Linked DNA regions of Rattus norvegicus. The protein of the gene in region 2 interacts with the protein of the main gene of each other region in a pairwise test. Links are inferred from orthologs where the notes say so. Each region holds a gene or a part of one and is shown on either strand. Other genes may lie near its edges. The genes, in order: Hdx, Sufu, Glis3 and Rcn3.

Region 1 (7,808 bases), on a different chromosome or scaffold from region 2:
AGGGGCCACCAGACACGTGACAGGAGGTGAGAAGTAGTCAGGGAGGACCAAAGGGAGGACTGAGAGAGCAAGGTCTGAAAGACACAGAGCGCAGAACTCACGAGATGCAGACTGGCAAGATCCCCTAGCAAAGCCCATGGAGGACAGAAGCCGTGAGAATAGTTACAGCAGAGTTGGCAATGGCAGAAAGAGAACAAGGCTCGCACAGAGAGCTAGAAGACAAGCATGGTGAGCCAGGGAAGAAGCAGCAAGAGTGAAGATTCTTTTTCTGAAAATTGGAAACAAAGAACATGAAATCAAGACAGTGATAATATAAGAAGAAAAGATCACTCCAAGCCAGGGGAGAGGAGTAGAAAGCATTCTGGTCATAAAGGAGATGACGATGACAACAGGTGTCAGAATGGTGCCAAGAGACACTGCGAAAAACCTAGCAGATAGAGAATCAAAGAGAAGTCAGGACCAGAGGAGAGAAAAGTCTCCAAAAGAACAAAAATAATTCTAATGACAACTGAACATACCTTACATTCAATCCAATGTCTTTTTTACATTGATGGATTGTATAAGTACATACTTGTAAACTTTTAAAGATGCTTTCTTTTTGACATGTTTTATAATTGATATATCTCAAGGTCCTTTGTGTAAAATCATAAAGAAAAGAGATTCAACAAAGGGGTAAGTCTTATGTTTTGTGAATAAAAGGAACAAATGTTTTAAAAACAAAAACAAAACAAAAGAACTCTGCCACTTAAAATTTTTAAATGTTTTAATTCCTATGTTCATAAAAGATATAATCCTGTGGCTAGAAGAAATACACCAGGATAAAAGTAGTCCTATTAGACTGTTAGGACACATAGCTTCTATTTGAATGAAACTTTAAATAGGAATAATAGAACAGTTTATACATCCTTCCAAAATTAGAGATGTAAGATTCTTTCTAAGAATCACATCTATAAGAATCCTTCAATCAATTATAGCTGCCATTTGAAAAACTTTTATTAACAGACAGAAAAAGGTTAACAGGAAATGTTTCTTTGTGTTTTGAAGCCAGCTTTCCTCAGCCTACACAGTGCTGGAGTTATCGCTATGTGTCCTAGTACCCAGCTGAAATAATTTTTTATAGTCCATAGATTATTTAAAAATCCAGCGTCTGGCACAATATCTTTCCTATAGTGAGAACTCTAAGGATATTTTTAAATGTAGTGACACATTTCTAAGATGTGAAAAATAAATTTTTGTGTGTTAAAACACATAGGAAAGACTCACCTGATTTACTCTGCAATGAAAACCAACTACGAAGATTCTTAAACTGAAGCAGTTTAAGTTTATAGAGAAACTCAATGACACGAAAGAAAGTCACAGAGAGACATGAGACTATAAATGTGCTCATAATAAAAGAAATCCATCCTGGCATTTGGGAAACAAAGGCAGGAACAGCAGAACTCCAAGTCATCCTCAGCTATATTGGGAGTTAAAGGCCAGCTTGAGCTACTGGAGAATTTGTCTTAATTCTCCATATCATAAAATAATGGATTTGGTATTTGTTGTATAGAGTGAGGACTCTTATTTTATGGAGAAATTTATGTGACCGAAGAGCTTAATCTGAATGTTTGAGCTTCTGTTGCTCAGTAGTCTTTCCCCTGAATGGAATTTGGTTTGTCAGCAAGGAATACCAAAAGTTGTTTGCAAAGAACCACATGACTCTCAGTTAAAGGACATGTTTAGCTGACTACTGAAATATTTCTGCTGACAAGGAAGCCATAGAGGTTGTGTGGCAACAGTGTAAAATCAAACATTTGATGAACTGAATGGTCACCAATGAACTTTACTTGTATATATCGATGAGAAGGGACATTTCTGAGCTAAAGGGATTTATGAGGGTCTTTCTGTAATCATAAATTGGTATCAGTAAATTCTGAGACCAGAATAGCTGCAGTTAAGAAACTTATCTGAAAGTTGACAATTGAAACAGTTTTACAGATGCTTCAAGCATCTTTTGGGAATAGATAATAATTTAATTGTGTAATATAGTTCCATACAACCTAGTTACAAATATATGACATTGTAAGTTTAGGCAGAAACTAGTATTTTCCCATCTACAGACCTTAGTAATGCCATCTGGTATTCCAGAAAGGGAGATGCAAAAAGATGTCTACAGTCTGCTGCCATTTGGTACCTACTAATAGTAACAACTGGGTACCATGCCCATTTTCGGTGTGTATTCATAGAATAGCATCCAGGAGATTCAGGTCTTTGATCTATAATCAAAGTACTATAGTTCTTTTTTTGACATTATTGTTGGCTCTGTGCAGGCCTCATATGGAAATGAGGTAAACTTTGTGGCAAGGTTGTATGTCTAGAATTAAATAAAAACAACCAAATATCAGTGGCATACTTTGATTTCCTGTTTCAAAAATTTTAAGATATGAAAAATATTAAGAAAATGTTGGTAAACTTGAATATTTGTGCAATATTTTGTCTGACTCAATTATATAAATTTACTATATGGTAGAATATGAATCAGCAATACTATCACTCACTTTATACAAGAATTGAGATTAAAAGTGTTTTTTACAAAGTACAGTCTTTGTGTACTTAAATGTCTTGATGATGAGTCGACTTTTCAGAGGATTTTCCCCTTTCCCCAGTGTCAGGGGAGTACCAATAACTTAAAATTACATCCTATAATTGCTTCGATTTTCAATCATTATCTTAGGCCAAATTCTCATAGGAGTTGAAAAATAAATCCCAGGATTCATCCAGGTTAAATATATGATTAGGTCTGTTTTAAAATTTTAGCCCACTTTCCTGAGTAAAAATGTATATGAATCATAAGAAAATGAAGTAGGAAGAAAGATGTAATGGCTACAAAAATAATACTAACCAAGTGTTAGCAACTTAGTAATGTTGAGATGTGCTCATTTCTATATTTCTGAATAAAATTAAGATTCTTCTTAAAGAATAAGCAAAAAAAAACCTTTCAGAAGTCAGATATAATAAATTTCATAGCTGAGTTGGTCAAAATTTATAATTTTCTAGGATTTTATAAGTTTTAAAAACAAACCATTTCAAGTATTTTACATGCTTCTTTTGTACTGTAGCCATTAAATCTTGTCATTCCTTCACAGCATACGTCTGTTTTAACAATGTGTTTTTCCAGTTGAAGACTATATGGGAAACAGAGTACAGTTATCTTGAAACACACACCAGTTAGGCAACCAAGAGACTATATCATCTTTCCCACCCCCAATCACAAACTGTCTGAGGCATTTTTCTCTGATAATGAAGACACACTGAATGAGGTATCATCAGGATCTGGTGAGGCATGACTGAAATCCATCTCTTCTAATTCTGGAGGTAAATCTGACAGCAGTGCCTATGTCAAAAAAAAAAAATCAATTGTGTTAGATTGGTAAGGAGAAGGCCTTTTTTTTTGACAATTTTATGTTGATAGTTGTAGTTCTTTTCTTTTAATTTATTATTGTTATTAATGTTATTATTAATTATTATTTATTATTTTAGTAAAGATAAATATTTATTTTTAAGGATTTTACACAATTCCTTACCTAAAACAGTAAGTTTTCATATATTAGGAAAGAACAAAATAGTAGATGCCAAGTAGAGTAGAATCTTAGACAAAGGGGAAATCAAGAAGGAAATGAAGAGCTATTCTGATGATGCCAGTATCAGAAGGTACTATGGTTATAAACATTAACAACTATTTCAAACCAAGGACCCTTAGCAAAGGGTTTTCAAGTGATTGAAGCAAGTATTTTTCATGCTAGTTTTGTGTGTTCACTGCTTACTCATAAAAAGCTTACCATTCCCTTTCCTTCTTTATTGGAAATATTCATGCTTCATTGCCCTTTAAGGAAACCCACATTTTAACAAAGACCTATTTTGTTTTGTTAAAAGAATAAATGTAACAGTCAGGGGAGAAATTCTTCTATTTTACTATAGATAAAAGTTTAACAATTGGAAAAGACCATGTGGAGTTTTTATTTGTTTGTTTCCTTTCCTTAGACTGTCCATACAGGAGGCAAAGCACCCACTAAGGATAGCTCAATATAAGATATGGCTGTTTTAATGATGTATTGGCATATTTCTTTACTGGAACAATTAGGATATGCCAACATTTATGAGCTAAGCTTACCCATGTTCTAATTGTTTCATCTGTATTTGTAGAACATGTGTCTATACTAGAGAAATAGTCAAGTTGTTTGTGGCTGACAATGCTGCTACCCATTTAACCATAAGAAATTGGACCTAAAATACCATAGTCGATGAGGAAATTTTTCAACAGCATTACTTGTATTGTGGGTTTGGGGAGATTAGTAAACAAGAAGCAAGAGAATAGAAACAAATGAAAGCTGACTAGAACCCAATTAAGGAGCAGAAAGGCCAGGGCATGCTGGGGAAACATAAGAAATATAGTGTTGAAATAAGATCTGATTCTCTTCTTCAATAGAATAGTGACAATTATATATCATATAATTTTTGCCTTGTGGCAAGCAAATAAGAAGGAAACATTCTAGTTTTTGCCATGCTATATAAGAAAAAACTAACATATGTGGAGAAAGTTATAATTTATTTTTGTATCACTAAATTACCCATGGATGTATACTGAAGACACCACATGCTTTCTGAGGTACTAAGTTGCAGTAATTGAAACATACCAATTTCTTCTAGGACACTGAGCTACTACTGCTGATCCAGTGCAGGTACAAAGGGGCCTTTGCTAATGCAGGCTGTTCAGAATGTAACATCAGTAGATCCAGTTCATGTTGCAGTGTTTACTCTACCATGTTAATAATGGAAAGATGTTCAAATTGGCACTGATTGAATATGAGCTTCATAGATTGGGAAATCAAGTGAATTAGGAATTTTCATGATATTCTAAATTCTAGCCGAAAGACCCCCAAAATAGAGAAGTGGTATTATTTATTTCTTCTTTATTTCATTAGAACAGTTGACTGACTAAAATTGAGAATAGAATTTAAAATGTTCATTATATGAGGTAGTTCATAGCACTGTTGATGCATGGATTTCACTGCAAAATTATTTCAATATCTTACTGGACAGAAATACTGGGGACATTAAACAACTCTTTGTCAATGATTGAAACTGCCCTTTTCACAAAGATACAAGTAGACACAATTAAATGTCTTCTTTTCTCCCATCACCCATATTGCAGATTGAACCCAGGGTCTCATTTACTCTGAGAAAAACACTCTGTCAATGATTCACATCTACAGCCTCAATATTTTTTATTACATGTTTTTCATCAGTAACAAGTATTTTCGAGCTCTGACCAAATGCCATTTTTCCCAAGAGATCATTAACACTTTCTCCAAATACACGCTCAGTGTCTGTAATACTTACTCTAGGCTCTAAGATGTGAATGTAAAATTGATAATCATTCTTATCCTCCTTGCAGAGTGGAGAAATTGAAGTTTAAGAAAGGCGATCGATCTGGCTAGGATCACACAGTGAATTATCAGGGGAAGAAAGACCATAACTAATGACTTAGAGCAATGTTGGCAACATTATCTGGATGTTAAAATGGCTATTATTGATTTTAAAAAGACAACCTTTAGGTAATCTAATGTTTCAGTTGGGAAGTACCATATATATTTTTAAACCCTGGACTTCTTTATAGGGGCAAAATATCCCATAGATCACTTATCCAACTTATCCAAATAAAGATTAATGAAAGAAATACTGTATAGCTTTTAAAAATAAGAAGGTAATGGCAAGTGTTTCTATTTTACCATATAGGATAATGTATATTTCCAGAAATATCATCAGTTTAAGATATAAACTGGATTACTTTTGTTTATCACTACTAGTATCATGTGTGTGTGTGTGTGTGTGTGTGTGTGTGTGTGTGTGTGTGTGTGTGTAAATTATTTTTCTGCTTAGAGGCTATACACATGACCTTCCTGTCTCAAGTCTTTAAGTGATTATAGGTGTGTGTCACCACCATACCTAGTGTCTTTTATGCTTGGAGAAATTACTTTGAAATTCATTATACTTAAAAGTACAAGAATAACACAGTTTTTATTTAGGCTGCTGACTCTATAAGCTGTGACATTTAGTATAATGTGGTATCATTTTTCTATTTCAGCCCATGTTTTGTTCATATCTTACTTTACAAGTCTTTTATCAGAAGAAAACTAGAAAAAGAAAAGCAACATGCATGTTTCTCTCTTATTTGTTAGTAATCCTTGGGAAAGAATGAAAGTAGAGCTGAAGTTAGAAGTAGAAATTCAGACTACGAGTTTATACATTTTCAGACAAGAAATACATTATAAGTTAGTCTAAAGTTGGAGTCTATTTGTGTGTGCTAGCATGCGTGCGTTCATGTGTTCTACAGCTATTTAAAGCTATAATACTATTGGGGTTGTGTTCAATACTATCACTCGTATTCATTTAAAAATCAATTCTCTCTCTCTCTCTCTCTCTCTCTCTCTCTCTCTCTCTCTCTCTCTCCACCCCTAGCTACATGCTCTTTTCTCTCTCTCTTTTCCCCCTCTCCTATCTCTTCCTTCCCATGGTGATTTCCTTGGGGCCAGTGAACCCGCCTGGACTGAGCGTAGCTTACCAATAAACCTGTGGGTGTGTGTGGGGGGGGGTGTGGGTGTGTGTGTAAAAAGAAAAAGCTCTGTATTTTAGGTTCTTAAAAAAACTTTGTTTTCTTTTTTTAAAATTTGCTGTGCTCTGCTTGCTTTTGTTAGTTTTAAGGTAAATTCTCAATTTATAGCCAAGGCTGAACTCAAATTCACAGCGCTTGTACTATCTGAGCTTCCTTAGTGCTGGAGTGACGGCATAAGCCACCATGACTGTTCTATAAACATGTTTTCAATATGCCATGAAATGTGTATCGTGTGTAATGAAGCACTACATTTAACACTAGCCCAGGCACCTAAAGGCTTCTGAACTGTGGTCTCTATATACGGTCAGAGTTGAAAGAGTAAACTTCATGAATCTGGATAAATAATAGTCATGCTGGCTTTAGCCCTTTGAGAGGACTCTTAGAGCTTGAATTTTGTGTTTCAATATAACAGTTAAATAAACAAAGATCTCTTTCTTTGAAAGAAAGGTGAATTATGGGATGTTCAGACATTAACCTATTCCCTAGAGATGTCTGGAATGGGCTATGCATGCATAATGTTCTTTGGGTATTTTGTTTTGTGGTATTTGGGGGTATATTTTATTTGGGTTTTTACTTGTGACATTTTTTGATGGATAAAATCTTCTCAGGTAATTTAGTAAAATATACCTACCTGCATTTCATACTATGCACATATAACTTTTCCGATACGGAATCAACATGGTGATATATAACTCAGCAACAAATCTGACATTTAATATTAAATATAATTTTATAGTCAGGCTTAAATATCCATATATTATTGTATTGTATGATATTATTTATATTATATTAATGTTGTCTTAAGAAAGACCTGAGGGCCAAACGTAATTTGGAAGGAATGTATAAACAAACAGCCACAGCAAAACACAAAAGGCATTCCATTGGTAGATGGGAAGACTCAAACAGTTTTACTTACATTGCAAAATGTGATACACTATGGTCACAGAGAATTTCATGAAGTAATTTCATGCAGTAATTTCATGCTTTCTTAGTGAGGAGCAACATATTATAAAACAGACTATGTCCAAACATTTGTGAGTTCCAGCAGCTGCTGGTGGATAAATAAATGCCTACTTTGTTTCATTCAGAAAAAGTCCCCCAAACATTCAGTCTAGTTATGGGTTGAGATAGCTGTACAAGAATAGCTCTACAAGAA
Region 2 (7,808 bases):
CTGAGCAGCTGAAAACTGGAGATGCAGACCATCCCAGCCCCAGGCTGGAAGACATTCTTAGGATGACAGAACAAAAGGGCAGACTCTTATTTAATCTAGGAAGACCCCATCCCTAATTCCCTCCTCAAAATGTGCTTGAACTGCCAATGTACACGCAAATGAACCACAATGACACTTTGCTAAGACCTGCTGGCATGGCATCTCATCCTCTCTGTGGCTGGGGCCTCCTCTGGGGTCCCCATCTCCCACCTCCATACTAGTTTTGACAATGGGAAGAGTCCTGCATCCTCCGGTTGTCAGAGCAGGATGGCAGCCTAGGACAGGGCTGGGGCAGGAGTGGGGGTGGGAGACCTCCTCCGCCTTCTCCACGTGTGCTGGGCTCATTTCAAATGTTACACTTCAGAGCTTCTGCTACAGTAACTACAAGACCACACAGACGAAACCTAACTTACCAAGTGGGACTTTTAAAATGTATTTATAACTTTATGGTTCAAAGTAATTTTGTTATGAAACAATGTAATAACTACAGTGGAAGATAATTTATGGAACACAATATCCCTAAAGCACTAGCTTCCATTTCTACCTCTGGGCTTAGTCTGAGAAGAGTGGCTGGTATCCTTTGTTTGTTGTTTGTTTTAATTAAGGGTTAGGACTTTGGTGGGGAGTAGGGAGGAGGTTGCTCTGAGGGAGGAAGGCTCAGCTGCAAGCAGACATGCGCAGACAAAATTATACCCATATTAAGAATAGTGCAGACCCCAGACTGGGCTACCCACAAAGTCAGTGTAATTCTTTGCCTTTTACTGTAATTTCTGCTTGCTTTCTCTTACACACCACAGACAAAGCTTGGTTACACTTTGGATGAAGATCAGATGTGTTCCCCAGTCCCCTGATTTCATTTCATTTGCTTTTCTTTCCTTTTATTCTTCCTTCCTTCCTCCCTTCCTCCCTTCCTTTCTTTCAAGACAGGATCTCCTAGCTGGCCTGTAACTCTTTGTGTAGAGTAGGCTGGCCTCAAATTCATACAGATCCCCTGTCTCTGTCTCCCAAGTACTGGGATTAAATTGTTTATCAACATATCTAACCCTGATTCCCTTTCATGATATTTTTTATGAAAGGTAAGTAAATTACTTTTCCCCTACTCTAAAATATTGCCACCACCCCCACCCCCAGGAAAAAGAGAGTATGGCAGACCAGGCTGTGACCCCTGAGAGATCTGGGCAGTACAGGCACTGGAAGGAGGCTAAGAGCCCCATGTACTGTGCTTGATATCACCTGTGATCCTTGCTCCAAGCAGGAAAATGGAAGAACAGGACGCTCTAGACAAGCCGTCAGGTTCTGTTCAATGGTTTCCATCAGGAGCAAAGGGAGCAACTGACTGGTCAGTGCAGAGCCCTGGCCACTGGGACCTGCCTGCTCTAGTCACAGAGTTCACTTCCTATACATTCTGGTGAGGTGTCTATACAGTCACTGGAGAGGGCCATCATGTCCCACCCTCCATTCTTGGTCTTGACTTCCCAGAGTATGGGGAGTTCTTTACTTCTCACGCCTGGGTTCCCAATGGCCAGGGAGTGCCCTGCTGCTGTGAGGACAGCAGCATCCATACTCACAGCCTCTGTATCCAAGAGGCAGCTCCCAGCTCAGCATGGGTACCACAGAGAGCTCCTGGGAGGGAGGGCAGGCAGCAAGGGAGGAGTGAAAGGAAAAGAACAAGGAAGAAAAGCTGCTTCTCACTTGTAACCAGGGTCCGTGAGCTGCGTAAGGATGTTCCTCAGTGGCAAAGGCGCCTTCCACTCCGGTGGACACAAACGTGATGGCCATGTCACCTGTGATACTCTTGTAGGTGAAGTGCCGGCCATGCAGGAGTCTGCCCCTGGAGATGGGAACATGGAGACAGTGGGGATCTGTGCCTACAACAGTCCCTAGCCAAGGTGCTGGGGCTACAGAGCAATGTTCCGAGATGGAGCGTCTGGCCAGTGCCCTCCTGATGGCCCACCTGTTCAGTAACAGGGGACTTTAGTGACCAATGACAAACATGTTCATTGTAGCACAACAGTGAAAGGCCACCACTACCAGTTCACTAAAGGCATCCTGCCTTTAGCTCCTGATGCTAGGTCAGAGCTCAGAGAACCTCAGGGAAGGTGAGAACAATGAGGCCAGAGAGGGAAGTTAACCGTATGTATGCTCAGAGGGAAGGACGTATGACTCCCAGTGGGATATTAAGTGCCCGGAACAATCTTCCTTTTGTTCTGGGCTCTCCTGAAACATTTAAACAGTTATCCTAGAGGCAATAAGCAAATCTTTAAAAACACAAAAACAAAAAAACAAATCTGAAGCCAAGCAGGGTCACTGCGAGAAGTCACCACTAGTCTGAAAATACACTTGGAGGACGGTAGGCAGTGGCAACCAACGGCAGGGATACCGAGCATCCAAGGAGGAAAAATTGGCTTTGCATTCTCTGCCTGCTTCAGATAAACCCTTCCCCCGGCTGGAAGTCCAAGCCTGTGCCCAAGAAGCTGCTAGGAGGAAACAGCTGAGTCTGGTGCTGGCCCTGGGAGGCCCTGCTCACCCAGACCACTTGCTACCTTTGCCCTGTTTCTCAGGGCAGTTGGCTAAGGCTGGTTAAACTCTTGACTCCTCCCCTACTTCGCCTGGCTCTTGGATCCATGGGCAGGGTTCAAACCATGAAATTACTTCTTCCTAGTCACTGTCCCCTCAAGTTTAGAGGGATTCTTGTTGCTTCCTCAGTTTGCAAAGTGAAGTTGGAACTCAAAAGTGTTTGGGAGGGGGCAGCTGCAAGAGATCCAGCCTAGTGCAGTGCTTTGAACGGAGCTGAGTCCTGTCCACAGCGTGGGCGCTGACTCTCACAGCAGCAGAACGGACACAGCTGGGCTTCCTGTCCCTCAAGGAGTCTGCGGGGTTGGTCACTGGCTTTTGTAAAGGATCAAGTATCTTTTTTTTTTTTTTTTTTTTTTTTTTAAAGATTTATTTATTTATTATATATAAGTACACTGTAGCTGTCTTCAGACACACCAGAAGAGGGCATCGGATCTCTTTACAGATGGTTGTGAGCCACCATGTGGTTGCTGGGAATTGAACTCATGACCTCTGGAAGAGCAGTCGGGTGCTCTTAACCGCTGAGCCATCTCTCCAGCCCCAAGGATCAAGTATCTTGCATGGGAAAGCATCAAGCAGGAGGATGCAGAGCCTAACCTGTCAGAACCCTCTTGCTCCTGACCTGTGACCCAGCTTAAGGGATGGCAGGGCCATCCTAGACTCTCTTGGTCACTGAACCTCCCAAAAGGGGCACAGCTGAAGGACACTTCCTAGATAAGTGAGAATTCTCAACATCTAGTCCCCATGGTGTCTGACTTTGAAACTTCTTAGAGAACCAGATGTTAAGAAACCTAGGTGTAGGGTGCATATCTTTAAGCATGAAGAAGCAGAAGCTCTCTCTGAGTTCAAGGCCAGCCTGGGCTACGTAGTAAGACTGTCTCAATAAACAAACAAACCCCAGATGACAGGCGGGGTGGGGTGGGGAGTGGGGGCTGTTATGTGACTGGGGCTGTCACAGATCTAGCTTAAGAGATTCGGAACAATCTCTGAGAATGAACTCTAGGCCATCTGGCCTGGTCACTGTCTGAAGACTTCTCAACCACCTGCACTGCCCAGAGCTTTAGACAGGGTGCACTGCGAAGGCTTGTGACACAGAGTCCCCAGTTTCCCACACAGGCCCAGGGCAGAGCTGCCTGAGTGTCTGTCTTCCATCCCTAGCCCTGGACACTGCTTAGGCATCAGACGCTCACAGACAGCCTGTCTGGTAAAATGCTTGCCAAAGCTTACATGAGTTGTACTGGGGGAAGATCGACTGTGGAGGTTTTGAGGCCTGCAGGGTACTGCAGAGGGGCTGATGTGGAAGGTACTGTCCAGCTCACCTTAGGCAGAGGGGGATGAGGGCTCCCGACTCCTGGTTAAATTTCAGATGCACGCTTTCGAGCTGCCGTGTGCGGATCAGCTCGTGGGGGATAACAGCCGTGGAGATGTCACTGCCCAAGCTGTCCTTACGGCTCCTGTGAAGGAAGCACATAGGGACCAGGGGAGAAGCCAATGAGATTTTCTCCATGAATTCCTGGTCAGCACCTATGGTGGCTGTTAACTGCAGTAAGGGTCACCTTCACTGAGCACTAGCCAAGGGTGTCACACACTTCTCAATGGCTGGCTACTCCCCCTAATGCCCCACAAGGTGGGCACACTGGGACGGAGGGGCTGAGTGCCCAGGCTGCACAGCCAATGAAGAGGTGGAGTTGGCATGTGGTCTGAAGTCACTCAGGCGTTAGAGCCCACATCTTTGGCCAACAACACAGAAAAGTCCTCACAGCACGGCTGCTTATTTTGCCTATGAAATCAACGGCTGCTCTAAGGAGCTTTTCTTTCCCTGACTTGAAGCCCTAGAGGCTCTCAGCTCTCCAAGGTGTCACAGACAGCGGCTCAAGGTCAGGCTGGCTGACCCTGGCAGGGTTCTAAGTGAGCCCACTCCTGCACAAGGCCCGGCCAGGCAGCAACATAAGCAGTGACAGGAAGCAGCATGACCTTTGCTGAGAGGTGAATGTTGGGCCCTTAGGAGTCAGATGTGTGTGCCTATGTGACACTCAGCTGAGCTTCACTGGTGTGGCATGTATGTGGTGGTATATGCTGTGTTTTATAAAAAAGAAGAACCAGGAAAATGTTTGGTAGAGGCATGGTATGCTGAGGTGGAAGGAGGTGCCTCTGCAGGTCCATGCTGAGGCATCCCTTCCCCGAGGTACCAGTCACACAATGGGTATAGTATAGAATAGCTTATTTAGGGCATAGGGAGGGGAGTTGAAGGAATAGTAGAGACAGAGAAAGGGAGAGAGAGAGATTGTAGAGGCCAGCCATGAGCACATAGAGAGACGGGGGCGAGGGGGGGGGACGACAAGAGAGTAAGAGAGTAAAAGAGCAAGAGAGTGAGGAGGGGGCAAGCAGCTCCTTTTATAGTGAGTCAGGCACACCTGGCTAACTGTATAACTGGTAACTGTGGGGTGGAGCCTAGAAGAAATGTTAACAATGTGTGTGTGTGTGTGTGTGTGTGTGTGTGTGTGTGTAAGCCTTGAATTAGATCCCTTCTGACAGTGACCTTGGCCACACTAAGCTGTTGCAGTCCCTTAGGTCCCTTCCAGTTAAGACCCCCAGCAATAGCTCAACCCACAGCTAGGGTACTGGACTCTAGTTTGGCTTGTGAAACGCAGAAAATTCTCTAAGTGCCCAGGAAAATACCAGGCTCAGAGCATTCGGTTTTGTTTGTTTTTAAACCATTCAAACAGCAGGCAAGAGCTACTCAGGATGTCTGAGCAGGACAGTCACCCAGGAGCAGGCCTCAATTTACGAAGGGAGGGTGAGCACAGGGGCTTCTAGTCAATGATGCACCTGACAGATAGATCCCCTCCCAGCGGAAAGCCTGGGTCAGCTGGGTCAGCACAGGCAGCAAGGCAGTGACTCAGCCCGCCCCTCACCCCAGGTGCTGGGCAGTTCAGCTCTGCTGTCTGCTCCTCCCAGGACCCACCCCCAGATGACTGCTCTGTCACCAAGGCAGCCCTTCCTGTGGTTCCCAGCGCTGCCTTGGGAACTGCCTTTCCCTTGGCAAGCACTTTCACAAGAGCAGTGAAGGAGACACACTGGCCAAGAGGGTCACAGCATTTCAAGATCGGAAAGAAACTCAACCTGTTTAATTTACCTCTTTCCTTTGCAAAGGAAAACATATCCAAGGCCAAACAAAGAGCACGAGTGTGGCAGGCCAGCTTGTGGGAACCAAGGACTTCTGACCACCTCTGCCTACCGGCCAGCAGCCAAGAAGAACAACTCCACATTTCATCCAGGCACTATGGATAGGTTCAGAGATGACATGTGGGGTACCCCTGGGGCCCAAACAAGAACAGAACACAGGAAACAACAGCAACCATGTTTATCCAGTGCTTCCTCAGAGAGTGTGTCAGGCTCTCTGTTAAAACGCAGTTGCACTCACTGGGTCCTCCCAGCAAGGAAGGAAACGTTCTAAGCCCCAAAGTGGGCACAGATAACCTTGAGGTTAAAGTTTTATTTGGGAGGCAATAGGGTTGAAACTCAGAGTTTTGTGTATGCTAGGCAGGCGCTTTACCACCGAGCCCCGCCCTGAACCCCACTGAGTGATTGAGGAGCAGAGCCAGGATGTGACTCTTATCTGATAACAGGCTCTCCTAGTCTATGCTGCTGCCAGGCTGCTCACTGGGGCCCAGACCTGGCCTGCTAGGGGTGGGACCTTCTGGAGGATTCCAGCCTCAGTGGGCCAGGCAAACATGCTGATGACTAGCCTCGGAGGTAGGGTGGGGGCTGGGAGAGAAGAATCTCACAGCACGCAGGGCTAGAGAGTCTCAAGCTAGAGGGAAAAATAAATTGTTGAAAGTCAGCTAAAGTCACCTTGGTAACTGCCACAACACACTCACCAGAAGGAGGACAGCAAACCCGACTGCAGACAGCTCTAAAGAAGCAGCAAAGAGCTTAATCATCTGAGGAATTAATGTGACAAGTGCCCACATTTACACCTCCCACCAACCTTCAATCATTTGAGAAAACATACTTTAATCTTTTAAGAAAAAAAAACTCAAAATGCTAGATCTGCACTCCTGGAGCCTGGGTATTTCCGGCATGCTGCTTCAATGGGAAGGCGGCTGCCTCACACTCGCCGAGCCCAGCTTTTTGCTGATTTGTTTTTTCTGGACATCGATGCAGAAGCATGAATTATTTGTGTGGGCTGGGTGAGGTATTAAATCTGCAGCCGACACAGGTTTGCAATGTTTTGCATGGTTGTCAGCTTAATCTTAGTCATAAAAAAATAAGTAGTGTGCTAGGCGGCATGGCCTAATTTTTCAGCTGGGCTTTCTCCCCGAGTTCACCATAGTGAAAGAAGGCAGAGCTATTGGGGGATGGGGGCTGGAAAGGGGAGGGGCTTCTGGGAAGTCATGACCCACAGCCACTGGGGAGGTCTAGGGGACATGGGACCATGAGTATGCTCTAGGAGGCACATCATGGGCTCATTCCTTGGTGACCTTAGCAAATGACCTTCCTCTTTCCTTTTCTGAGACACAGATTTGCCATGTAGCCCAGGCTGGCTGTTCATTTATTTTTTAATTTTATGATATTTATCTTCTGTGTGTATGCATGTCACACAGATATGCCAGTGTGCAGAGATCAGATGGCAATTTACAGGGGTTACTTCTCTGGTTTCAGAACTCAGGACAAGTTTTACATACTAAAGTAGACCTGCCTTCAGGTTCTCCTACCACCCCTCAGTCCCTCCCGGGCATTCCCTGAACTTCCCAGCCCAAAGGCTTGGCTGCCCTTCTCCTAGAGGTTCTTCTCTTTCCTATATAATCCAGACATTTTGGTCTCTCTTCTCATTTCTCTGTGAGTGTGCCCTTTCTCTTTCTCTGCCTCCCCCTCCCCATGTGACTCCCCTGGCCTCAATTCTTGGGGCCAGCAAACTTTCCCAATAAACCTGCCTTTGATATAATCTGGCTTGGACTGGCTCAGTCCACCAGCGGCAGAGAAATAACCTATCCCTCTCCTACCGTGGAGCCTGGGCATCACACTCAGGCCATTAGGCTTTGTGGAAGTGCGCTATCTGTTGAGGCACCCCAGCACCCACCCCTTGAACTCCCAGGCTAGTCTTGAACACATGTAGCCAGCTCTCCTGACTCAGTCGCTGCAGTGCTGGGATTCCATCATGTGTTTTGGAGGGCTTAACTATTTCCCTAAGC
Region 3 (7,808 bases), about 20 Mb from region 2:
GTATCATCACCAGATACAGCCAGAAATTAAGGGTAACCTATACTTCAGTCCCTCTCTAAGAAGGACAAGAAGCAAATCCGTACATCCTATTTCTGTACATTTCTTTCCCCTCTGGAAATATCCACTACCCTAAGATTACTGGTTCTCCTGCCCATAGGATTTGCTTGACCACATAATTGTTTATCTGAAAATCCTTTCTAATTTTTTTGTGGGTTTCAATGTACATAAATTGGATTATACCACATTTTGCACATAGCATTTTACTCAATTTTATCTTGTGAAATTCACCATGTGGAGTGTATTTCACTAATCTTAGACTCTTTCATAGTGTTACATAAGAATAAACCATAGCAAATCGGTTTACCTTGTCTGTGGAAGTAGAGTTAATTACACTTTTATATAAATAAAACCACATATGCGACATGTGTCTCATCCTAGGTTTCTATTCTGACACGTAAAGGATTCTGTAAGAGAGACACATAAACATGGTTCTGTTAAATATACACATTTTCAAACTTACTATGAATGTCCAAATTGCTCTCCAAGATGGTTACACCAACTTATTTTTCCGTGCACGCGCACTCGCACACACACACACACACACACACACACACACACACACACACACACACACACACACCATTCTCCATACTCATCAATACTTGGTACTATGCAAATTTACCCATTGCTGCCTATATAAAGGTTTTGATGTGTTAAATAATAATTATAGTCAAATATTTTCCAAAGGTCCTCTCTGGTCATGTAATTGTGGTAATCAAATCAATGCCAAATCTTATCAAAAATAACAAAATAAAGGTTGTAGACGGGGAGAAAACTTTACAACGGATTTACTTTCTCTCAAAAAATATCTTTTATGGCCAAAGCTGGCCCATGACCATACATCAGGCCATAAAAGAGAGCTGGGGACATGGCCCCAGCTCTGTATTTATTTTCTTGTGCTCATAATCCAGTGTTACTTAAAAAGCAAACTGCCCCATATCCAAGCCAAAGCAAATACGCTGAATTTTGCCAGAAAAAATGCCTGTGGAGAAATGAGTCAATTCATACAAAATTTAAAACTGTCTTTGGTCAGTGACATTTTCATGAAAATTTGTGGGTGGGTAAAAGTTTTGCAAAATTCATTTTGCTATTGGATTAAATTCATCCAGGAAAAATAAGCAAAATGTAAGTGGCAACCCACATCGCCTCTAATTCCTCCTTAACACTCCCAAGGCTTTCAATTGTGCAGGAAAAGAGGCCCCGCAGTTCTGGACCTGAACAGAACCTGGGCCCCTGCTCACGGAACAGGCTGCTTCCCAGCATAAGCGCTCATGGACCAAGCTTCTCCTGTCATTCAGAATACACTTCAATGCCCCCGGGAAAACACTACTGGGCACTGAGCACCCCTGAGCTCAACAGCCAAGAGGCCTCCCTAGAGTGAAAGCCTTTGACACATTCTTTTGGAACCACCACTATGGGATCCTTTAGGAATGATTTGATGCTCTTTGTTATCCTCTTAGGGGCACAGAAGTGGTTTGGAGCTTGTGGGGGGGAGGGGAGGGACAAGTTCTAACTCTTAAGACTTGTTCTAAATTGAAAATCAGGCACCTCCTCATCTCAGAAAGACTTAACAAAACTTGACTTAGTGACACTTGGGAATGGCCTACAGTCAACAACCTAAGATTTACCAAGGAGAGAGCTGCTGAGAAAGCAAGAAGGTAGAGAACATTGGTGGGCACCTAGAAACCATTTAACTTAACAAACATGACTGAATGTACTTTAAAATACAACCTTGCTACATTTGGGGTTCTGATTCATTTGAGATCTGCCTCTCCACCTATTGAGGCCTTTGCGTTGCAACACTTTGCCACTGTCTGGAACTGTCCACTTCATGCAACCAGGACTTTAAGGGCAGGAGCCAGTTTGTCTTTCCATGGGAGCAGTCAGTGACAGGTGGGGCTGTCTGGATGAGAACGAGACCCATCCTTTTCTTCCAATAACAGAACCAAATCATGAATTCGGAATCTTCCCCTGGCTCTGCTTTGTTCCCAGGTTCCGGGTTAGTCTGCAGCCTCCCAAGGTTAGCAATGATTGATAAAATGCGTTCTCCCATGGAGAATAAGTAACTTGACAACAGGGGGGATTCCACAGTAGTCTCTTACTGTAAAGCAGGCATTGGCCCTGACACACCCTCCTTTTACCATAATTTCCAGAAGCTCTTAGTGTTACTTGTAGTCATGGTCACCAAACACGTATCGGTCACCATTCCATTTCTTGGTTAAATAACCCGGTAGATGAAAATGATGACTAAGTCTGAATGTCATCCACACAGGAGAAATAGAAATTAGATATACTTGAAACAAAACAAAACAAAACAAAACAAAACAAAACCAGACTGTCCCCTAAAATTCAAACTACTTCTAGGTTTTGTAGCCCCCCCCCCCAAAAAAAAAAAACCGAAGACCACTTCTCCTAAAGAACGTGGTCACCTTACCTGACATGGCTCTGGTTTGGGGTAAGCTACCTTCAGATTTCAATGCAATGAAACACTTCCCTGTTGGAAGTTCTGTGTGCCTGGATCCCGTGAGCTTGGGAAAATTCCCTCTGCAAAGGGCAGGAGGATGCACACTTCAGATGTCCATCCCCCCTTAAGCACAACACCTTCCTGTCTGCAGACTACAATCTGAGATGTCCGCCAAGCCTTGCCACTGCAAGACTGCTTACTGCCAGCACTCTACAGGGTCACATAGGAAGCACATGACATGTAGCAACATTAACAGTCTTCAGAAGATAGAAGGTTCACGGTATGTACGTTGACATAAAAATGGGTCTCTTCCTGTTAAAACCGTACACTCCCCATGGTGGGAGATCATAGCATCAGTAACCCCTATGTACCTCTGCTTTATCTAAATTTGCACACAGCACGTGAGTGGTTTACGATTCTAGTCCTGCTGCTGGATTAGTAAGTTGTGCACGTGTCCCGCCTATGAATGAGGAGAGGGCAGATTAGGAGAGCACAGTTGCCTCATCCGCCCGTCCTGAATGACACAGTGAATGGCCACACAGGCTCACCGCTCAGCTGTTCTTCCCCTCGACTATTTCTAATTTTAATGTTCACTGTGCACTTTAGCAAAAGTCAACTCTGCAAAGTTTAATGTCTTTGAAAGCTCTGGGACCCGAGGAGAAAATGGGGAAACCCTTTTGCACAGAAATTAATTTTGAAATGCAAAAAAGTTTTTTTTTTTAATATAACTCTAACTTTAATGTTTGTTTCAGTAAAGCCAAATCCAATGAACTATTTTCAGCCGGGAGTTAGTCAGAACTAAAAGGTTGGACTGTTTTCCTTCAGAGACTGGGTGTTTCTCCTGCTTTGCCACAGGCCCCTGTGTTCCAAACAGAGTAAGCAGGATTGCCCTCAACTGCTTGTCTCTTGTTGTGGCATTCTCAACACAGAACCTACTGACAGCATAGAGTTCGGCCTCCTGGAATGAAATTACTCTTTTCACTCAGAACCTAACACTCTCACAATGCATCCGCTTCAGGTTTTCCATGAGGGAAAAAAAAATCACAACATGGGCATAATATAACGACGAAAAGCACAACTCCATTCCACCGGAAAGCCTTACAGCTCTTTCGAAAACACCCACAGTACGCGGTGAAATGGCTTCTGACTCGTGCATCCCAGAGCTCACCTTCGTGGCACGCTTTTGCATCGATCAGAGCTCGGCCAACCTACAGTCAATTGTCAACACAGTCCACACGCTTTGTATCACAACCCGCTCTAGAGATGATGCTGGCAGGGAGGATCACAGTCAAACCCGTTCCTCTCTGATCTGGTTTATATCCATCCCTTATCACTGATCTCCAGAACTCTCGATATTAAGGGAGCACATAGGAATCTGGGTTCTAACTCTGAAGAACTATTCCTGGACATCTAGACTAATAGAAAAACGTATGTTCCTCCCTCCCTTCCTCCTTCCCTCCCTCCCTCCCTTCCTCCCTCCCTCCCCCCACTCCCTCTGCAAGAGTTCAGTGAGCCCTCTCAGACTGTGCAAAGCTATCTCTTGTGATCCTGAGGGTGAAGTTCTGCTTGTAAGCCCCCGAGGGCTTCTTCGAGGTGTGAAAGTGTGGTGAAAGCATTTAAGAATCAAATTATTCAAAAACAGTCAGGTTTGCCAAGAAACAGAATCAGGGTTGCAGGATCAGTGTTGGGAAGGAGGAAGGCAGGAGAGACAACAGACCCATGTGCTTCAACACCAAAGGCACAAAATCGTCTCGACCCAGGCTTTATGCTTTTCCACAAAAGTTATCTTTCCTCAAAATTAAGCGAGATCCTACAAGGCCCTGTTCCCGTGGTGTCTCCTTGGTGTTTCCTTGCTGACTGCAAATCATTAATGAGTCTCGCAACCCTAGAAGATACGACGTGTACGCTGCTACCTCGATAGTCAAGTTCCTAAGTGGAGAATTCCTATCTTAAATGTCAGCCACGCCCCCAGATCCCAAGCCTCGCCTAAATTTTCAGAGGTTTAAAAAACAAACTGATTATTTACTTAGGAAAAGAGGAAAAAAAAAAAAAAAAGCTTGCTTGTGGCTCAGTGAATGGTGCCCTACATTTCAACAGCCATGTAGTCAAGGGAATACGGAGTCTGTGTCCTTTCCACAATCCCAGACTAAAGCAGACTAACCTCCACAACAATAGTGGCATGGGGCTTGAGATAGAATGGGAGAAAAACCAGCACCATCAAAGGAAACTTTCCCTTACACCAGCTAGAGGACGAGGCAAGAAACCTAATAAAGTACCTTAACCACCACACATTCAAATCCCACAGAAATAGAAACTCTTACCTGCCTTCTCGGTCCTGTTGGATAAAATGCATGCGTGAAAAGTAAGCTGGACCTTCAAGACAGGTGGCCCAGGACCTCGGAAACTCCAACTCACCGTACACTTGTTGGGCTTCTCCCCAGAGTGGACCCTCATGTGGATCAGCAGTTTATATCGTGCGTTGAAAGGCTTGTATCTTCTAGGGCAGCCAGTCCAGAAGCACGTGAAGTCTTCCCCCTTGCGCTGGTCTATGTGGACCTTCTCGATGTGCCTCACCAGTTCCTCCTGCTGGTCATAAAGGGCGCTGCAGTCTATCCAACGACAGCAGTGCTTACCCCCTGAATCTTCCAGCTCCCCATCCTCTTCCAGGCCAGCCTGGGCCAGGGGCAGCGATTGAGTGTGAGGCAGGAGCTCTGGGTGATGAAGATGTGGATGGGCATGGTATGGGGGTGGGGGGCCCTGAGGCGGGGGAAGAGGGAGAGGCGGTGCAGAGGGCAGGTCCAAGGCACTGGCCGGGAACTCCTCCAGGCGCTCAGTTTTGAGCATGTTGGCTGTCTGGCCATCCTGGCCCGGTAGGCCGGGCTGCAACACCATGCTGTTTCCAGATCCAGGCTGCAGGCCACCGTGCTCCAGCTGCTGCATGCGTTCGTACTCCAGTGTGCCATCCTCTCCGTAGCCCGGCAGCGTATGCCCTCCACTGGTAACCAGCACACCTTTCTGCCCGCTGGACACTGCGCAAGACTGGGGGATGCAGCTGCCACGGACACCCAGGAAATGCCCATAGACCTCCGACTGCGGAGACATGTTGGCTGGGGAGGCTCTTGATCCATTGATGTAGGCCACCAAGGATGTGGGTGAAGTACGGATGATAGTATTGAAGTCAATCCCGATGCCGTCGGACAGCGGGGACAAGGACAGCGCTCTCTTTTTGGAGCGGGTGGAGTGGGGCCTGGTTGCTGAGTGCCGAGGACTGGGGTAAGGAGAGTGGCTGTTTTCCATGCCGAAAAGGTAGGGTGGCAAGGAGTTAGAGACGCTGTTGCCAGACACTGGCGTGCCCGGAGGCAAGCTAAGAAGGTCCCCTAGGTCCATGCCATTCTGGGAGCTGTGGTTGGATGAAAGTGAAGGAAAACCCCTGTAGCTCTGAGACCACTCTTGCTTCACACTCAAGGCCGACTGACTCTCTGTCAGGCTCAAAGTCGTGGACACCAGAGACTCTTGCAAAATAACGGACCTGGGGCAGCAGCCAGAGAGAAGGAAGGAAAAAAAAATTTTTTTTCAGTGAGATGTGGATTGCTTAAGAGCTGGGAGAACACTGTACCAACAATCCCTTAAGTATTTCCCCTAATTACATTTGCCAATAAACACAGATTCTTGGACTATGATAGAATCCCAGGCTTTTTAGTTCCAGGTAAACAGCATTTTACCAAGCAAACAAGAGAAGCCAATGCTTACTAGGATAATAAAAGCTATCGTTATAACTAGTGCTAGTACTTTAATGAGAATAAATAGTCCCCACCTTATTTCAAAGTAATTTTTTATACAAAAGGGGGAAATTGAAGACTAGGAAGAAATTATAGATGCTTGTTGCAGCACACCAAATTAGTATTTGTTAAGCACCTACTGTGTACACCATGTTGTCATAGGTTTTGCAGGTCATACACTTCTCAACAGCACTAGTGTTCAGTTTAAATCTACTTGGAAAAGTGACATAACCTCATTGCTTTGTTTGTTTTTTTAAAGGAAATCTTACAAAACAAATGTTGTGCTAGGAACTTACTAAAACTTTTACAATTCCATTTCATGGATATTGTCAAATCAGACACTTTTAAAGGGCAATTGACAATGTGAGTACGCATCCATTTCTATCAAACATTTGTGGAAATGTAAAAATACAGGGGCACAAAGTATACCTCAAAGATAAAGTGCATACTTAGCTTGTGAGAAGCACAGAGTTCAGTCTTTATCTCACAGAGAGAGAGAGAGAGAGAGAGAGAGAGAGAGAGAGAGAGACCTTAATAGAACAAAGCTACGATACATAAAGAGAAATGGACTGGAGAGCTGCATTTGGAATCACTCATCAGGCCTTGTGGGGGCTAACCACACTTGTTAGATGGGTTTCCCATGAGCTCTTGTCCTTGTATCCGAGAACAGGTCACTCACTCGCAGTGATTCATTTTTACAATTCCTTCCTTGTCCTTACCCTTTTATTTATATATATATACATATATACATATATATATATAAGCTAAATATGTCACAATCATTGTTTGCATATCAAAGTGGTTCATTATGGTAACTCTAGCCCCTTGAAAATTCATACTGCTTTCCAAGGACATTATTGCCTTAAAATAATTTTTAGTTAAAAACAGTAAAATTAAAGCTATGTCCCTGGAACAAAACATTCATGCCCCAAAAAGGATCAACCTGTAGACACATAGAAAAGGAACCAGATCCCAATCCAGAAGCCTCAGATAGCTTATTCACATGCATCTGCAGCTGGCTTTCCAGAATGCTTTATTTAAACAGACTAATCACCAAAAGTTCTTATATAAACTGTGTGACTTCTCTAGATGGACTCATTTACTGTCTCCAGGCATTAAATGTCAAGCTGTTGTAAAGGAAGGAGGAAGCTTCATTTCACCTGTCCCCTTCTTGGCTTCACAAAATGGAAACCAGGAACACTGTTTGTGCCAAGCCTGGGGTATGTGAAGAAAGCGTCTAGGCTCAGAAAGTCACAGAAAGGTGGTAGCAGACACTGTAATGGACCCGAAGGCCGGTGGGTATGGGGATGTTTACCAATGGTGGACACAGCAGGAACCTGTGTCCAACCACCCTTGATGTAGATTTGTCTTTGGCTTTTCTCACGTCCTTACATTTGGGCTAAAGTCCATCTGCAAGTGGCTTCTGCACAGGTTGGATTTTAATTCCCCTTGGACACATCTCAATTATTTTTTGAGCACACTTAACAGCATGGGGCTCTTCCTGC
Region 4 (7,688 bases), about 150 Mb from region 2:
GTCCCCAGCTCTGAAAAAAAGAAAAAAAAAAAAAAAAAAAAAAGGAATCGAAGGTGTTCTCCACTTCATAGCAAGTTCAAGAGGCCAGCCTGAGTTACAGGAGACCTAGCTCAAAAAAAGAAAAAAAAATTTTTTTTTCCTAAAAGCCAGCAAAACCGTCAGATTTTATCCTCATCCCTGAGTTAAACAGCCAAGGCCTAGCACAGGGCTGGCTGTCCAGGTTAAAACACTTGAAATAGCCCCGGACAGGACAACGGGAGACAATGCTATGGAAACAAGACAAATCTGGAGCCTGGTACAGCCAACAAAGCCAAGCTGTTGAGCCGTGGCCATTGTAGAGCCCCAGGCTGTCCCAAAAGGGCATCTCTCTCTCTGGTGCTTTCTGCAGGTTCCCCATGAATGCTCCCTGGGCTAGACATGCAGTAGACTCTGCACACAGTGGGGGCTTGATTCATGCAGCATGAGGCATGAGGACCTCAGCTCCCCTTGATGCCAGGAGATGGCAGGCCTCAGGTGAGAGCCGGCCTTGCTCACCGATGTACTCTTCCACCTGCACGTAGCCATCTTTGTTCTTGTCAAGGTCCTCCAGGGTCTCCTGGGGAGAGGCATTGGGGTGAAGGGTCAGTGTACATACAACTGAGCAATGTCCACGGGGAGGGGGGGTCTGTGGATGTGACCAGATGTGCTTGTGTCCAGTGTGAAGCAGCCAGGAACCCCCATGTCCGACCCTGCCCAGATTTGTCTGTTTGGTTCTATGAGATAGGCTCTCACTGTGTAGCCCTGGCTGGTGTATAACTCACTCTGTAGACAAGGCTGGCTTTGAACTGAGTCCAGCCTGCTTCAGCCTCCCAAGAGTTGTGTTCCGCTACAACCAGCTCATCGATAATGTATATTTAAAGATTTTTTTCTTTTTAATTTTATGTGGGGCTGGAGAGATGGCTCAGTAGTTAAGAGCACCGACTGCTCTTCCAGAGGTCCTGAGTTCAAATCCCAGCAACCACATGGTGGCTCACAACCATCTGTAATGGGGTCTGATGCTCTCTTCTGGTGTGTCTGAAGACAGCTACAGTGTACTCAAATATAATAAATATTTTTTAAAAAAATTTATGTGTGGATGTTTTGCCTGCATGCCTGTGTACCACGTGCACACAATCCCTCCAACATCAACAAGGCCATCAGACCCTGTAGAACTGGAGTTATACCAGGGCTGAGAAAAGAACCCCAGGCTTCTGTTGGAACAGCTAGTACTCTTTTTTCTTTTTTTTTGGTTCTTTTTTTCGGAGCTGGGGATCGAACCCAGGGCCTTGCGCTTCCTAGGCAAGCGCTCTACCACTGAGCTAAATCCCCAACCCCACAGCTAGTACTCTTAACTGTTAGGCCATCCCTCCGGCACATGGACTATTTTTGGCACATGCACCCACATGTCTACTCTTCATGTTATCTGTCCTAATTTAATAAATGGTTTCTGGTTGGGTGGTGGTGGAACATGTCTTTAATTCCAGCACCAGCAAAGCAAATCTCTATGAGTTTGAGGCCAGCCTGGTCTACATAGTGAGTTCCAGGAAAGCCAGGGCTACACAGAGAAAGCCTGCCTCCAAAGCTCAGATAGATAGATAGATAGATAGATAGATAGATAGATAGATAGATAGATAGATGGATGGATGGATGGATGGATGGATGGATGGATGGGTGGGTGGGTGGGTGGGTGGATGGATGGATGGATAGATAGAATCCACTTCTTCAAGTTCAAGAGCTCAATAGTCACTGAAGATTAGCAGTGGACCCTAAGAGACAAAACAAATTTATAAGATCCCTGTAGTTGCCACACAAGCACGAAGATCTGAATTGCATTACTCAAAACCTGCATAAGAGGGGCCTGGTGACCCACACTTACCACCCCAGAGCTGGGAGGCAGAGACAGAGAGATGCCGGGGGACAGCTGGTCAGCCAGCCTAGTTTAATCGGCAAGCCCCAAGTCTTGGTCAATGTCCAGTCTCAAGAAGCAAATAGCAACAAAGTGTGGAGCCCTGGCTCTGAGGTGAGGAGCACCCGCTGTCTCAGAGGATCTGAGTTCAGTTCCCCGGACCAGTGCAACTCCAGGTCCAGGTGGTCCAGCACCTTTCATGGCCACTGCAGCACCTGTACGCCCCACCGCCTTCCCCGTAAGTACGTTCCATATCTAGTATCTGAGATTTGATTAAATCACAGCATGCTGGGCTGGAGAGATGGCTCAGAGGATAAGAGCACTGACTGCTCTTCCAGAGGTCCTGAGTTCAAATCCCAGCAACCACATGGCGGCTCACAGCCATCTGTAATGAGATCTGATGCCCTCTTCTGCTATGTCTGAAGATGGCGACAGTGTACTCACATACATAAAATAAGCAAATCTTTAAAAAAAAAAATCATAGCCTGTTATATGTGAATTTCAAATAAACTGTGTTTTCCTGGGCTCTGGCCACAATTGGTGTTCACCTGAGGCATCTTTTTAAGATGTTGTGTCTGGGAACAGGCTGGGGACCAGACATCTAACAGGAGCACAGGAAGGACTGACAAAGAGGTACCAGGTACTTGATGGGGAGTAGACACGGGATAAAATGCTGTCCCACATCTACACTGGTGGCCTGGAATCCTTGTGAAAGCTGCTGGGACCCAGGACAGGTTTGGGAATCATGCTCTCTGCAATGAAACTCACTGCCACCACGATGTCCCGCATGTGAGGGAACTCCTCAGGATGCAGAAAGGCCGTCAGCTCTTCCCGAGTAGCCATGGAGTCCCCATCTTGGTCAGCTACCCGGAATCGGCGCTCATCCCGAGCCAGCATCTTCTTGTAAGTCTCGGCATCCTCCACATCATGAAATTCCTCCCCTGGGGAAGGACAGATGTGGATGAGATGCGTGGTCACAGAGGCGAGGCCTGGGGCCTTAGGGAACAGAAGGACTCAGCTAGCAGAAGGCCTGCCACAGTGTGTAAGAAGTAACACATGTCAGTCACATGATGGGTATGTGGGCAGGTCTGTCATTCTCATCCTTAAAAGACTGCAGCAAGAGAATTGCAAGTTCAAGGTCAGCCAGGGTAACTAAGCAAGACTATCAGATAGCCCAGCAGCGAGCCCCTGCCTAGAATCTCCCAGTGAGGGGCTGCTGTGTGGCTCAACCATTCCTGGCAAGTGTGAGGCCCCAGGTTCAATCCCTAGAGATGTAAAATAATAATTTTCACGTGTAATATACTCAGCTTCTTGTATCTGGCTGTAACACAGTCAGTGACGTCACAGACTGGAGCTTCACTATGTAGCCCAGGCTGACCTGCAACTCAATGGGTAGCCTGTTAGTTCACAGAGACCTGCCTGCCTGCCTCTCCCTCCCAGTGTTGGGATTAAAGGGGAGCTGCACCATTCCCACTCCCCAGGCCCCTCTGTGTCCCGTTTCCTACAATGCTCTATGTAATCCTCACACAAAGCCAGACTGTTGCCTTTTCCATTTGTCCTCTTTTCTGAAGGTGAAATGACTGGGCTCTGAGCGGACACTGGCCTGGTTAGCCCTGAAGTTCTTTCCTGATACAGCAAGTGACTGGCTCTAACTCCATGACAGAGGCAGGGAAGGGCTTCTCGCCAAAGGAGGAACAGCGTAGGCGAAGTGCAAAGTATTGAGGAGATCGTGGACTCCACCAAAGAAACTGGGGCAGAAACCCTATGAACACAACATTGCTGGTGGGAGAGGCTAAGGAGGTAGCTTGTCTGTCTCCTAGGGTCCCTGAAGCATGGAGGGAGTCACCTGTGCCATACCTATCCTTGAGCTCGGGGCTATCCTCCTGCCTCCTCTACCCCACAAATGCTGAGACTGTAAGCAAGACTGAAGAAGACAGCTAGCCAGGGGTGCTGGCTAATTTTATGTCAACCTGACACGCAGGTCAGAGTCATCTGAGAGGAGGGAACCCTGATTGAGAAAACACTTCCATAACACTGGGCTGTAGAATAGTGGTCAACCTTCTTAACGCTCTGACCCTCTAATACAGCTCCTCAGGTTCTGGCGGCCCCCATAGAATTGCTTTGTTGCTACTTCCTAATTGTAATTTTGCTACTGTTATGAGTTGTGATGTAACTATCTGATACACAGGATAGCTGATATGTGAACCCCAAAGGGGTCGGGACCCACAAGTTGAGAACCAGTGCTATAGCTAATTCTTCAGTGATGGACACAGATGTGGAAGCAGAGGCCAAAGAAACCTTCTCCTCCCCAACTTGCTTTTGGTCCAGTGTTTCATCATAGTGACCCTAGCTAAGACACCGACACTGCGTAGGGATACCATCTCGAAAAGAAACAGAGATCAGGGGTCTGGTTAACAAGACGGTTAAGCGTTAAGTAGTTCCTGCCAGGGATGTGAAGTCTCCAGTCAACTTGTCACATAGGCTGGAGTTCAGAAGGAAGAGCAAATGACATTTGAAATGGAGGGAAGTATCAGTGACAAGATCCTAAAAGCGAGGTCATAGGGCAAAGGCGAGGTGGGCATACCATACCGGGCTCATAATGGCCATAGGTGGCATTGCGCAACTCCTCCCAACCCACGCGCCCGTCGCGGTCCGTGTCGTAGGTGTGCCAGGCTGCGCTCACCGAGTCACGGATGTGCCGCTGCTGTGTGTGCGCAATCCACGCGCGGAGCTCAGCTAAGGACACCCAGCCATCGCTGTCCCCAGCAAGGTCCATGCGGTCTACAATCCGCCTGCAAGGAGAATGAATGTCAGTCTCTGGTCCTGCCCAATGAGGCCCTGCCCCTAGAGTAGAGATGCAGTCAATCTCAATCCTGACTCCGCCCACCAAGGCCCCTCCCTGTCATGTAGAGTCACCCTTGCCCCCACATAAGACAAAAATGGGAACTTAAGTGATGGCTTAGCAATTAAGAGCCCTGGCTGCTCTTGGAGGAACCTGAGCTTGTTTCCCATGAGCCCCACAAAACAGATCACAAGTATCTGTAACTCCGGTAGCAGGGGATCCATTACCCTCTCGTGGTTTCTGTGGGCACAGATAGGTTAATGGTTAACATACAAACATGAAAGATACCTACACTCATATAAATAAATCTTTTTAATTAAAAAAATAAAAAAGGGGGTTGGGGATTTGGCTCAGTGGTAGAGAGAGTGCTTGCCTAGGAAGCGCAAGGTCCTGGGTTCAATCCCCAGCCCCGAAAAAAAAGAAAAGGAAAAAAAAATAAAAATAAAAAATAAAAAAGAGCAGGCCTTTCATTCCAGCACTCGGCAGGCAGATCTCTGTGAGTTCAAGGCCAACCTAGTCTTCAAGACACAGCAGCAAGGACTATTTAGGCAAACTCAAAAAAAAAAAAAAAAAAAAAAGATTGTCGTGAGAGAAAAGAAAAGAAAGGAAAAAATTAAAAGAAAAATAAGAAGGCTAGAGAAACAGCTCTGTGGTGAGGAGCACGGGGTGCTCCTTTAGATAGGTTCAATTCCAGCATTCCACATGGAAGCTCACAACTGTAACTCCAATTCCAGAAGATCCATTGGCATCCGTGTGGTACATATACATGTGCATGCAGGCAAAATATCCATATACTTAAAATAAAACAATTATTTAGAAATAAAGATAGATAAATAAGGAAAAAAAATGCTACCCAAGATGTGCAAGCAAACTGGTGGTGGGACTCCAAATAAACCAAAGAGAGGAACTGTCTGTTTTTGTTTGTACTATTTAGCGGATTATTGGGGGTTGTTTGTTTGTTTGTTTGAGGGCAGGGTCTCATTATGTATTCCTGGCTAACCCGAAACTCACTCGGTAGACCAGACCGGTCTGGAACTCACAGAGATCTGCCTGCCTCTGCCTTCCAAGTCCTGGGATTAAAATTGTGAGTACAGGACCAGGAAGAGCATCACCATTGATAGGATTCACCCACACTATGTCTTTGCCCATCCTGACTCCGCCTCTTGCCCCTAGCCACACCCCTCAGAAATGCTGCTGTATAGGCTTGGAAAGGCAGTAAAGATGCTAGGTGAACTGAGAGGCACCTGTTAATCTCAGTGCCAGGCCCTTCTAAAAGCCTGCCATCTTCACCTAGCCTGTCCCCTACCGGAGTCCTAGAGACTTGTATTAGCACGTGGCACAAACAAGGTCCCACCCTCTACTCTAGCCCGGTCCCCTAAGCGTTACATAGACCTTCGCTGGACTGAGCTGAAGTGTGAACAGTGAGCCCGGCCTCTAACTGCACCCCAATAGGAGAATGCTACTGTCTCTTGAAACTCCACCTCTCACTATCTCAGGGCCCGCCCCTCTTTCAAGCCCAGTCTGCCAGTGGACTCAAGCTCTGCCCACTTCCCTAGGTGGGCAGATCAATTTTGGACTCCTCCCTCTCCAGCTCCACCCTGCTACCATTTGCCCAGTTTAAAATTAGAAATTGTCAGGTTGGGGATATAGCTCAGTGGTAGAGCGCTTGCTTAGCAAGCGCAAGGCCCTGGGTTCGGTTCCCAGCTCCGGAAAAAAGAAAAAAAAAATTAGAAATCGTCACCACATTAAAGATGCACTCCTTTAATCCCAGCACTCGGGAGGCAGAGGCAGGCAGACTTCTGAATTCTGGACCAGTCCAGTCTACAGCGTGAATTCCAGACCAGCTAGTACCACAAATGAAATTCTATCTCAAAGTACTAATAATAACGAAAATAATCAAGCATATATACGTGAGTGGCCTTCTTGTCCCGGGCCCATGCTGACAGTGTCTGTCACCTAGAAACAGGGCAATCCTGTCCAGCTGGCGTCATTCATCCCAGTTCAACCTGGCCTCTGAGCTTGGCATCTTCCTCAAATCCCATGTCTTCAGTCTCTACCGAGAGTCGGTGACACGTTTAGAAGAGAGAACAGGGATGCCCAGACAGGCATAGGGTGGATTGAAGTAGAGAGAGAACCCAGGTGTTGGTGACACTGGTCCCCCACAGCCTCAGGTTTAACTCTACCTTTTCCCAGGAGGTGAGTACCACAGTTCTGTCCGGTTTTCTGCCTCTAAGTCTTCTCAGTGAGCTCATTTCTCCCCACCTCCCACTTCTCCACGGCTCCCCGCATCCTCCTACCCAAGTCGGGCCTGGCTTTCTTCTGGGGTGAGTTGGTCAAATTCCTTGGCCACGTCTCGTCCCAGGAACGCCTCATGGTCGTACTGGAAATTCCCGTGGGCGTCATCGTGGGGGGCCTCACTCAGGGGGGTTCCATGATGCACCCTATCCTGGCCATGAGGTCCTGCATCAGGAGATGGCTTCCCCAGGGCCCAGTGCCTCAGCAGTAAGAGAAGCAACATAAGCGTCCATCGCCACATCATCGGTTCCTGGGGAGAAGCGAGGAACATGGGTCAGGGGTAAGATTTGGGGGAAAAAATCTAAACCAGAGATAATGCGAGAGAACTTTGAAGGGGCGTGGGGGGAGGCTGCCTGAGGCAGTGCAGATATCCGCGCAGGCTGCAAACAGTTTGGGGCTCAAGAAAAGTCGGCAAAAAGAATCGAGAATCTGAAGGTAAAACCATCTCTGGGGATGAAATCCGAGCCTCAGAGGACTCTCAGAGCAGAAAGGGGGTATTTCAGTTAGAGACGTGGCACACATCCCACACAAAGTTGAGGGCATGGTGGTGGCCAAAAGCATCATGCAGGCTCCTCTATGTGGCTGGGGAGTCTGGACCGTGAGCCTCACGCTGAAGCCCCCTCCATA

The links.
Region 1: the proteins of Sufu (region 2) and Hdx interact in binary tests that used the Homo sapiens proteins (3 or more experiments, as listed by UniProt). The link is inferred for Rattus norvegicus from reciprocal best matches to the Homo sapiens genes SUFU and HDX.
Region 3: the proteins of Sufu (region 2) and Glis3 interact in binary tests that used the Homo sapiens proteins (3 or more experiments, as listed by UniProt). The link is inferred for Rattus norvegicus from reciprocal best matches to the Homo sapiens genes SUFU and GLIS3.
Region 4: the proteins of Sufu (region 2) and Rcn3 interact in binary tests that used the Homo sapiens proteins (3 or more experiments, as listed by UniProt). The two-hybrid records come from large-scale screens. The link is inferred for Rattus norvegicus from reciprocal best matches to the Homo sapiens genes SUFU and RCN3.

Annotation. Positions count from the first base shown.
Region 1 is NC_086039.1:80,743,536-80,751,343, forward strand, and holds part of Hdx (highly divergent homeobox), read right to left. Parts: intron 3,374-7,808; coding exon 3,248-3,373; 3' UTR 1-3,247.
Region 2 is NC_086019.1:255,277,643-255,285,450, reverse strand, and holds part of Sufu (suppressor of fused homolog), read right to left. Parts: intron 4,068-7,808; coding exon 3,933-4,067; intron 1,871-3,932; coding exon 1,732-1,870; intron 1-1,731. UniProt on the Homo sapiens protein: Negative regulator in the hedgehog/smoothened signaling pathway. Down-regulates GLI1-mediated transactivation of target genes. Down-regulates GLI2-mediated transactivation of target genes. Part of a corepressor complex that acts on DNA-bound GLI1.
Region 3 is NC_086019.1:235,653,295-235,661,102, forward strand, and holds part of Glis3 (zinc finger protein GLIS3), read right to left. Parts: intron 6,054-7,808; coding exon 4,940-6,053; intron 1-4,939. UniProt on the Homo sapiens protein: Acts both as a repressor and an activator of transcription. Binds to the consensus sequence 5'-GACCACCCAC-3'.
Region 4 is NC_086019.1:104,702,387-104,710,074, forward strand, and holds part of Rcn3 (reticulocalbin-3 precursor), read right to left. Parts: intron 7,312-7,688; 5' UTR 7,306-7,311; coding exon 7,064-7,305; intron 4,717-7,063; coding exon 4,514-4,716; intron 2,866-4,513; coding exon 2,693-2,865; intron 596-2,692; coding exon 535-595; intron 1-534. UniProt on the Homo sapiens protein: Probable molecular chaperone assisting protein biosynthesis and transport in the endoplasmic reticulum.